Linked DNA regions of Arabidopsis thaliana. The protein of the gene in region 1 interacts with the protein of each later gene in a pairwise test. Each region holds a gene or a part of one and is shown in the gene's direction. Other genes may lie near its edges.

Evidence for each region. Proteins that work in one complex are often made in the same cells at the same time.
Region 2: the proteins of ATRZ-1A (region 1) and NAPRT2 interact in a two-hybrid assay, tested with the Arabidopsis thaliana proteins (one large-scale study listed by BioGRID).

Annotation. Positions count from the first base shown.
Region 1 is NC_003074.8:9,668,761-9,673,792, forward strand, and holds the start of ATRZ-1A (RNA-binding (RRM/RBD/RNP motifs) family protein with retrovirus zinc finger-like domain-containing protein), read left to right. Parts: upstream 1-2,756; 5' UTR 2,757-2,845; intron 2,846-3,189; 5' UTR 3,190-3,192; coding exon 3,193-3,303; intron 3,304-3,668; coding exon 3,669-4,295; 3' UTR 4,296-4,311; intron 4,312-4,412; 3' UTR 4,413-4,703; intron 4,704-4,811; 3' UTR 4,812-5,032. Other genes in the region: EIF4B1 (eukaryotic translation initiation factor 4B1), read left to right, coding at 1-134, 297-321; TRM11 (tRNA modification 11 protein), read right to left, coding at 748-1,299, 1,393-1,467, 1,546-1,620, 1,701-2,018, 2,100-2,513.
Region 2 is NC_003071.7:9,968,847-9,973,878, forward strand, and holds the start of NAPRT2 (nicotinate phosphoribosyltransferase 2), read left to right. Parts: upstream 1-2,756; 5' UTR 2,757-2,972; coding exon 2,973-3,121; intron 3,122-3,212; coding exon 3,213-3,357; intron 3,358-3,445; coding exon 3,446-3,565; intron 3,566-3,657; coding exon 3,658-3,792; intron 3,793-3,885; coding exon 3,886-3,947; intron 3,948-4,043; coding exon 4,044-4,119; intron 4,120-4,342; coding exon 4,343-4,444; intron 4,445-4,578; coding exon 4,579-4,695; intron 4,696-4,785; coding exon 4,786-4,844; intron 4,845-4,949; coding exon 4,950-5,032. UniProt on the Arabidopsis thaliana protein: Catalyzes the first step in the biosynthesis of NAD from nicotinic acid, the ATP-dependent synthesis of beta-nicotinate D-ribonucleotide from nicotinate and 5-phospho-D-ribose 1-phosphate.

The DNA of each region.
Region 1 (5,032 bases):
ATTGATGAAACCAGGAGTTTTGAATCTACAGAGAGACCCAGATCACGTGGTGCCGTCGATGCCTGGGTTAGACCAGCCAATGAGCAGCGAAGAAACTTTCAAGGAACCAAAGAGCGCGGATTCTTCAGCAACAGGTTAGTCCCGGGGATTAGTATCTAAATGACTAAATCTCTTTAGAAGTCTAGAGATTTATGCAGTTGGTACAATAGATGCATTTAGGCTCATCATATCTTTAAGTTTAACCAAATTTGGTGAATCGATGTTATACTAATTTCTAAATCTCGGGTTTTCGACAGGTCTTCCTCTAGGGAAGGATGGTAAGAAGAAAACGAAGAACAACCAAATGTGGGATATCTTTAACTACTACTACACAGTTCCCAGATTTTGAAGAAGACTTAGAGCAGCGTTAATTTCATTAATAAAATATTCATAAAAAACCCTAATCTTTGTTCTTTTTTTGTTGGTCCATCTTCGGAATCGGAGCTTTGTTGTTTCGTTTTGGTCTTCTCTACTCAGCGAAGGCGTGTCTCAAGAGAATGTGTCTCTTCTTGTTATTATATTGTTAGACATTTTCGAATGTTGATTGTTATATTTTTTGTAGCTATTCCTGGAGTCTCTCATCTCCTTTTGATGTATTTTGTTAACACAATTATTTGCCAGTAACCCTATTTGTATTGGAACAACAAGAAAGACAAAAACGAAATTGTTTAGCATACAACAAGAAGAAAAAAACACAAAACTAATTGCTTACACATACTTCCCTCTATACTTAGGTTTTGGATCTTTGAAGGCTTTGGAATCAGTGTCAATCTGAGAAGAATCAATGGGTTTGAATATAGAGGAGTGAATATTACCATCCTCTAACCACTTAAGATGATTCTCTCTAAACTCTAAATGCATTAAACGAGCAGCTTCTTCAACCTCTTCACTATAAGGCTCTACTTTCACCATCGTTAGCAGAACCCGACTGTACCGCGAGCTCAGGATCTGTTCAGATACAGCTACTAACTTGAAACACGGGTGCTCCGGGAACTTAACCTCGCTGCCAGTCTCATCTCTCAAAACCGGGAAGAAAAAGACGAGCCTGCCTTTCATCACCAACATTCTTGCAGCAAGATGAAGTAGATCATGAACACACTCCACTAGACTATATGCACCAGTGGATGGAATGTGATCTGTTCTTTTGTCATCAGGGACAGTGTAAGGATCCACTGTTCCTCTAAGGATTTTCCTACCACCGGATTTACGTCCACCAGCACGAACCCCGTAAGGTGGATCGCAGATAATTGCATCAAAGATCTGGACCAATAGATACATAAGACATAAACTCAGTGATCTCTCTACTCAATATACCAAAGATAATAATGAAAGAACTGAGATATAGAGCATTACCTCCTTTAGCCCCGATCGCCAAGGAGGAACGTTATTATCCATTCTAAGTAAAGCTACCGGCATTGGTAATCCATACTGCATAAGTATTAACAGATGTAAGAACCAGTGATATCGAAAGAAACATAACAATAGAAGTCACACACTCATACTAACCTGTTTGAAATTGCTCCAAACATTACAATCTGGACCACGTCCATCACGCACTACTCTGATATCGATATCTGCACCCTAATACAACAACTCTTTTATCAGTTCGAGATTCAGAAACCACAAAAGGAAATCAATAAACTAAGGGAAAGGTTGCAAACCATTGTCATTGCGCCAAAGCGTGCAGCAGAAACAAGAATGCTCCCAGTACCAACAAAAGGATCATACACAAGTTTTCCCGAAGTAGCTTTCGCTTGATTAGCCATTAAGAAAGCCATTTCAGCATCCATAGCAGTTGGACCAAGGTAAGTACGAGATTTCAACTGAAATGTAGGTAAAAGCTTCCTATCAGCAAAACCAACCTCCCTCCCAAAAAATATCCTTCTCTGTAGAATAGGTTGAAGTCCATTGTTCTCTTCAGATTCAATCATTTCCATTAGAAAAAAGTTATGATCTGGGTTCTTCAAGTTAACACGACCCTGCAACAACCAAATCACCAAAGAATCAAAACAATGAAGATAAACACCAAAAGAGATTGAAACAAGAAAGTGGAATCAGACCTCAAATGGTATATAAGTAAACGACTGGATTCGATCTTTCTGCTCGTCAAAAGTTAAAGCCTTTCCAAAAGTTTCAACAGAGATTCTAAAAGTTGAATCAGAAGTGAGAAATGGAAGCTTTCGAGAATCAGGGTAGCTTTGAATCGAGTCTTTAAGCTCTTCATAACAAGTTCCTTCACCCCAAAGCTCATACATTCCTTTCACCAATATGCTTCGTTTAGCAATGTTACGAGCGATTTCTTCAGATGAAAGTTGAACGAAATGGAATGGAGTATCGTTATGGTGATTTTCAGGTAGACGCCATTGGAGAGACTCATTCTCTGCAATCTCTTCTCCGAAGAGTTCAGCTAAAGCTTCCACTTCTGGCTTTCTGAAGTCTAATAGCCTGTGATAGAAGACACACAGAAACCACATCTCTCTCTCTCTCTCTTTCCCCTGAAACGAAAACCCTAATTTGACAACAGAACTGAGAAAGAAGACGAAGACGGAGAAGGAAGAAACGAAGAACGACGGCGACTAAAACCTTTTCTTCAAAACCCTTATACATGGGCCCAATAAAGCCCATTTATTCAGGCCCACTTGTACTTAAATGACGAAATTACCCCGTTAGCTGTCGAATACGAGATATATCGCGTCGTTTGCTTTCACTTGTGTCTTGTGTGTTCTGCCAAAGTTTCTCTGCAGCTTCTCCTCTTCTCAGAAATTAGGGTTCCGTCTCAAATTACGAGCAGATCTCGTACTCTCTGGTAATGATTTCTCGTTTCTTATACTTTGTTTATACCGAAGTATCGATTCGCTTGCATGTCTCGTCATCTTTGTACCGATTCTGATTTGAAGTTTCTAGGGTTTACCATCGCGCAATTACGATTTGTAGATATGTTGTTTGCGAGTAGAGATCAATTGAAATTACCTTCGTGGATTTGTCTCGTAAGCGCGAACCATGTTTAGAGAAACGAGTTCAGATTTGCTTCACGCTTAATTATTGTGTTGTAGCTGTGTATATCTTCTGGATCTGCTGCGTGTGTTTGGTTTTTCTGGGAGTCAAGTCATATTAACGTTGTTCAAAAACACTTTTGGCTGTTTGTTTTAGAAGATGTCTGAAGATCCGGAGTACCGTTGCTTCATTGGTGGGCTTGCTTGGACAACGTCTGATCGTGGTCTCAGAGATGCCTTTGAGAAGTATGGTCACCTCGTTGAGGCCAAGGTAAATTTTTTATCTCTCTTTCCTCAGTGGCTCTCTGTTCTTCTGGTTACTGAAACTTAGAAGCTTTGTTCTGTTTCGCCTTCAGATTCAAACACTGAAGCTTTGATATGTTTTGTAATTTGTTTGCTTTCTGCAACTCTGTTTATGGTGAGGCGTGTCTGTTTAGTAACTGACTTCTTTTAGTGGCTATCAGCTCTTCTGATTGCTGAGACATTGAAGCTTTGAGTGATTTGTTCATTTTCTTGCTCTTTGCAAATCTGTTTGTAGTGTTGTCTGTTTGATAATTTTATTTGAAATTTATCTTACTACCTTATTTTTATTGCCATAACTATTATGAGAGATAAACCTTATCTATTGATACACAGGTGGTTCTTGACAAGTTTTCTGGTCGCTCCCGTGGTTTTGGATTCATCACTTTCGATGAGAAAAAAGCTATGGATGAAGCTATTGCAGCAATGAATGGAATGGATTTGGATGGGCGAACTATCACTGTTGATAAAGCTCAGCCTCATCAGGGTGGTGCAGGCAGAGATAATGATGGTGACCGTGGTCGAGACCGTGGATATGATCGTGATCGCAGTCGTCCCTCTGGTGGGCGAGGTGGTGGAGATTGCTTTAAATGTGGCAAGCCTGGACATTTTGCAAGAGAGTGTCCTTCTGAAAGTAGTAGAGATGGTGGTGGAAGGTTCAGCTCAAAGGATGATAGGTACAGTTCGAAGGACGATAGGTATGGTGCAAAAGATGATAGGTATGGTGCAAAGGAGGATAGGTATGGTGCAAAGGATGATAGGTACAGCTCCAAGGATGATAGGTACAGCTCCAAGGATGATAGGTATGGTAGTAGGGATGGTGGAGGTAGTCGCTATGGACCTGATCGCAGTGGTGAACGCGCTGGAGGACGCAGCCGGGATGGTGGCAGCCGTGGAGCTCCAGGAGGTGAGAGGCACAGTCGTGCTCCATATGACCGCCCCAGAGCTGGTGGTTTCCACTAGAATTCTACTCCAAAGGGTATGTATGCATTCTGTTATTTTAACTTTTTCTATTGTATCCCTTCAAAGTTAAGTTCTGGTAAGACTTTTGTTGAAGTCGCTTTATATCTTCTTTTGCAGTTAAAGAAGTTGAAGGTTTCTGCTTTCAGCTCGTGTCAAGTCAAAGTTACGCTTGATGGTCTATTTTCTTCAATGTATTTGGATAGCTCGAGAAAGAAGATGTGTTCTCTATTTTGGCCCTAAACTCAAGAGTCGACTATGTTCCTAAAGTGCTCTCTCTCCTTTTGATATGTTGATCCCTATGGAAACCTTGTGCTTGGTTGGTTTGAGACAATTTGAGATGTGCTACTTTATGCTTATCGTAATGAATGCGTGGGTTATCCCCCAACACCAAATATGCAAAAGCCTCAGGTACGTGATTGATCTCCACGGAATATCCGAGGTCGACATTTGGTAAAATTCAAATGTTGTTATATATGGGGATATGCCGTTTATTGATTCTGGTAAACAATGATGCAGGATGGTCTGATACTCGGGTTTAGCCGTGAAAATTAAAGACTGATCTATAAAACTTGTGATGGGATTGGGAAATATACATTGCTGATTGATACTTGGCTACTGGAACTCAAACATCCCTTCATGAGCAACAAATTGTCATTTTCAGGAAAAAGATTGACTTTGTGCAATTTTAGATCTTGGCAAGTCAAATCCAATAGTTTTCTTCAACTAGGGAAATTTCT
Region 2 (5,032 bases), on another chromosome or scaffold:
AATTATTTTTCTTTTCATCTTAAATACTAATTTTGTAACTCAATCTTAAATGTGCATATGCTTTTATCAAGTGTTTTTGATAGCTATATTATTTTAATTCTATTTATATGAAAAAAACATATACAGGTGGAAGATTTCTTTGTTGAAATGCAAGAAAAAATAATTTCTATTTGTTGAATAAATGTCTTAAATGGAGAAAGCTCCTTGGATATCATTGCATATGTTAAAATTTTCTACATTTCAACAAAGAATATAGAAAATTTCTATGTTTTTCTTTGTTAGTGTGACAGAATCTACTAAAAAATACATATTTTTATGCCAATGGTTAATATGTTTAACGTTTTGTGTTTTAGTGATATCATACAAAAGTTTCTAGCTAGCTAGATTTTTATGCCAATGGCTCTCTCCATTTTTTTATGATTAAATTTTCAAAAAACTAACAAGAGAACTTTGTGTATTATTTCTTGGTTTTTTATACTCCAATGGTAGGTTCTCTTAAAGGAGGTCTCTTAAAAAAAAAATATTCATATAAATTATTTTATTTCATACAACTTAATATTACAAAGCATAAAATATTAAAATACATTTTTTGGAAATATTATAAAATAGATGTGAAATAAATATTATAATGTTTAGTTAAATATATAATTTTGTCATAAATTATGAGCTAATTAAAACAAAATTAGTAAACCAAAACATTTAGGGGGATGTATTGGATTAGGGATTTTAGAAGATTTTTGTTTTTCTTAAAAACCATATCAAATCTAGTGTTATTCAAAAATTAAAAGGTTTTTGTTCCTCTACTCATCAACAAATTAAAATTCTTATAATTTTTTTTTTTTTGTTTGGCTTGAATCTGCATGACTCACTCAAATTAGAAGCCAATTACTATCATCAAATTAGAGATACATTTAACTATGAAGCGAATTACTATCACCAAATCATGAGCTATATGTGTTCCATAGTTACAGAGTCTATCACCAAAATACATAACGCCAACAAAACAAACTCCTAGTCTTGTACATCTATGAAGCCAATGACTCAAAACATACAACATAACCATCATGAAGCCAATTACTAAGAAAAAGCAACAAAAGAAAGAGATAGATACAGAGAAAAGAGAAAATACTTGAGCAAGTTGGGACTGAGTCAGCTTCTTGTCTTCTCGGGCTTGCATGATGGCTTTCTTCAACTTAGTGGGCACACGATCACCTGATTTTAAAACCATATAAAGGTGTTAACGATAACCAGCATTACGAATCAATCAAACACATATGTAGACTTCCTCTCGCTAATAATGCAAACTGAAGAAAATATTAATAACCCAAGAGAACAGACTAGATTACTAGAATGACTGTACCCAAGCAAAAGCTGGTTCTTATGGGATCCAAATCAACAACACTGATCCCCATGCAACAAACAATAAAACGAAACAGATCAATCAGATAACTTCTTCGTTTTCTAAAGAACCAAATCATCTACACAACTAAATCAATCAAAGCTTAGTCATCTTCCTATCTGACAATGCTCTGATTCGAGGGAACGAAGCAAGGGTTTGGTGGGAGATTGGATTTGGGACAAACACATATAGAATTGGGTCATCGATTTGGTGAAACGAACTCGGAATGGTGAGCAGCGTCGAGAGAGACGACCAATAGAGAGAGTGAGAAAATTTCCCGACGGAATGAAAAATAAAGACACAAGGATTTTTTGTTGGTTAAATATATCAACCAACCACTGACTGCCACGTAGGAGGCTCTCTCCAGAATTATTTGTTTTGATTATTTTTAATCAACAACTTCAAGAGAACCCTATCAAATTGTGATACTCATATCATGACACTGACAAATAAAAGAGACCATGAATATGGTTAGGCCATATGCGATATGGCTTCAAAAACCAAGTTGGGACAATCTTATGTTTAGTCTTAAGTTTGAGTTCATTTTAATTCATTTTAGATACTATTGTTTGATGTAAAATTAAACTTTGATAAATAAATGTACCTAAATTTGGATTGATTTTTTCATAATCATGTTTAAAATTTTTGGTGTTATGCAATTCTGTTTTGTTTTGTTTTTCCATAATAAGCATCTGAACATTTTTACAATATTTATATATTTTAAGAAACTGAAGTTTTAAGATGTATTAATCTACATTAACCTTTTCTATTTTAATGTTAACAAATATTATATATTATAAGTACAATATTCATCAAATACTATAACATATATGTGAAATGTAAATATTTACTACTAATCAAATATCATACTGCATATTTGATTGCAAAAGAGCTAAAAATCATTAATATTGCACATTAAAAATAGTCAATAAACTAAAATCATTAAATACACAAATATATCATAACACAGCAAGTGTGTACCATTATTAATCAATAGATTTACGCTATACAAGTTTTCCGAATTATGTATGTGAAATAAATCACACCAAAAAAATGTATTTGAAATGAAAAAATTCCCCGCCTCTGTAATTTAAGTTTTTTAGATTAAAACAGCTAAACTCTTTTCATTAATTTATTAGAGATACAAGATATTGTTATTTGTTACCAATACCAATATGTAAATTTTTCTGAGTAATTATTATAATTAGTTGAATTTGGCTACCATATGCCAATTTTCAACACATAAAATTCTTTTAAACGTGAAAATTCCAATAATCTAAGAGCCAACAACCACGAAAATTAAACCTCGTTTTAGTCTAAACTCTAAAATGAGAAATAATTAGAAACCAATAAAGGCTCTTAAAGAAAGACTAGGTCAAGTTCAAAGCAAGTTTTGCTTTGTGTGGTGGTCGTCGTCTCTTTCTTTAAACACACTTGTTTTTTTCTTTTTCCTTTGACCACTCCAATATAAACAACCAAGAACCAGTGTTCCTCGTCCATTCACTCTCTCGTAATCACACACACACTCACTCATACGAAGCCAATTGTTCCACACAAATTGGAAGCGACGACAATGGAGCCGAAAGAGAACGGCTCAGAATTGGGTCAGAAGATCATTGACGGACCAACGAATCCAATGGTCACACCTTTACTCAATGATCTTTATCAATTCACCATGGCTTATGCTTATTGGAAAGCTGGCAAACACAACGAACGATCCGTGTACAACACACAATCTCTTCTCATGCTCTGCTTTTGATGTTGAATTCTGAATGGTTTTGTATATTTGAAATTGTTTTTGTTTCCTTTTCAGTTTCGATCTGTATTTTCGTAAGAACCCATTTGGTGGTGAGTACACTGTGTTTGCTGGATTAGAAGAGTGTGTTAAGTTCTTAGCCAATTTCAAATTGACTGATGAAGAAATCGATTTCGTTCAAGAGTGTTTGCCTGGATCTGAGGTATATCAAAAATCTGTTTGTTTTTAGATTGTTATTGATTAAAGTTTGGATTTTTAAATCAGGGTTTTATGTTTGTGATTCAAATTAGGAAGCTTTTTGTGATTATCTTAGAGGGCTTGATTGTTCTGATGTTGAAGTTTATGCAATTCCGGAAGGATCAGTTGTTTTTCCTAAAGTACCTCTCATGAGAGTTGAAGGACCTGTTGGTGTGAGTCTCTTTGTCTCTTTCATTTGTGAAGATTGTTTAAGGAATAGTTTTCTTGAATGAATGATTCATCAGTTGTTGTAAAATCTCCATAGGTTGTTCAATTGTTGGAAACTCCATTCCTCAATCTTGTCAATTTTGCATCTTTGGTAGCTACTAACGCAGCTAGGCATCGCTTTGTTGCCGGAAAATCTAAGAGTCTACTCGAGTTTGGTGCTCGAAGGGCTCAGGTTTCCTATAAATCTCTCTCTTGTTTTTTGATATATTGCCTTTTGTGTTGTTCTTTCCATCTCTGTCTGATGTTATTAGTGTTGGAATCTTAGGGTCCGGATGGTGCAATAAGCGCATCAAAATATTGCTACCTTGGAGGTTTTGATGCAACAAGGCAAGTCTTGCTTTTTGTTTTTGTTGATCTGGAAGTAGGTGAAAGGGAATGTGGAAATGATGTGTTTTGTGTTGTTGGGTATTTTGCCAATGACAGTAATGTAGCAGCTGGAAAACTTTTTGGGATTCCTCTTCGTGGAACACACTCTCATGCTTATGTTAGCTCATTCATGGTCAGTTCACTTCAGCCAAAAGTTTCAATTTTTATGTGGAGGTTACATACTTGAGTTAGCTAGTAGAGACGATAACACAAAGTTTCGTGAAAATAAGATATTCTTGTCAATGCCTTTGTTGCTATAACTTTATTAGCCATGGTTCTGATGCACACTTAATATCCTCGCTCATAACAATATCACAAAAGCATTTTCGATATAATTAGTTAACTTTGGATTGCAGAGTACTGATGAGATTGTTGACAAAGTACTTCGTAGTGCTGATGGGAAAACCACGTGCGAGGATTTTGTTAGTCATGTTCAGACATGGTTAAAAAAGATTCAGGTTTGTTTATTGCACATTTTGCTCTTCCTCTTCCTGTTTTCTAGTCTCAGGACCATTGTTCTATTTCTGCTTCAACCCTTTGCTTGAATCTTTGTCACAGTTTTTCTTATGTTTTGTTTCTTTGTGGATGACAGTATTCACCATCTCTAAGTGGCATTTTCTCTGAGACAAATCAAAGCGAGCTAGCAGCTTTCACCTCATATGCACTGGCATTCCCCAAAACTTTTCTTGCCCTCGTAGATACATACGATGTGAGCATTAAACACCATAGTAGATAGCTCATTTGAGCCTTAGGATTTCTAATAAACTCTTATATTAGTGTTTTGCTGACTGTTTTACAGGTGATGAAGAGTGGAATCCCTAACTTCTGTGCAGTTGCTTTAGCACTCAATGACTTTGGGTGTGTAAGAATCTCTTATCAATACCCGATCGTCTGACTTGACTTTGTACTTCTTCAGGATCATATGGAATTTGAGATGCAATTGATGTTTATTGTGCTGCGCAGATATAAAGCATTAGGTATTAGACTGGATTCAGGTGATTTAGCTTATCTATCTAGAGAGGCCAGAAATTTCTTCTGCACGGTAG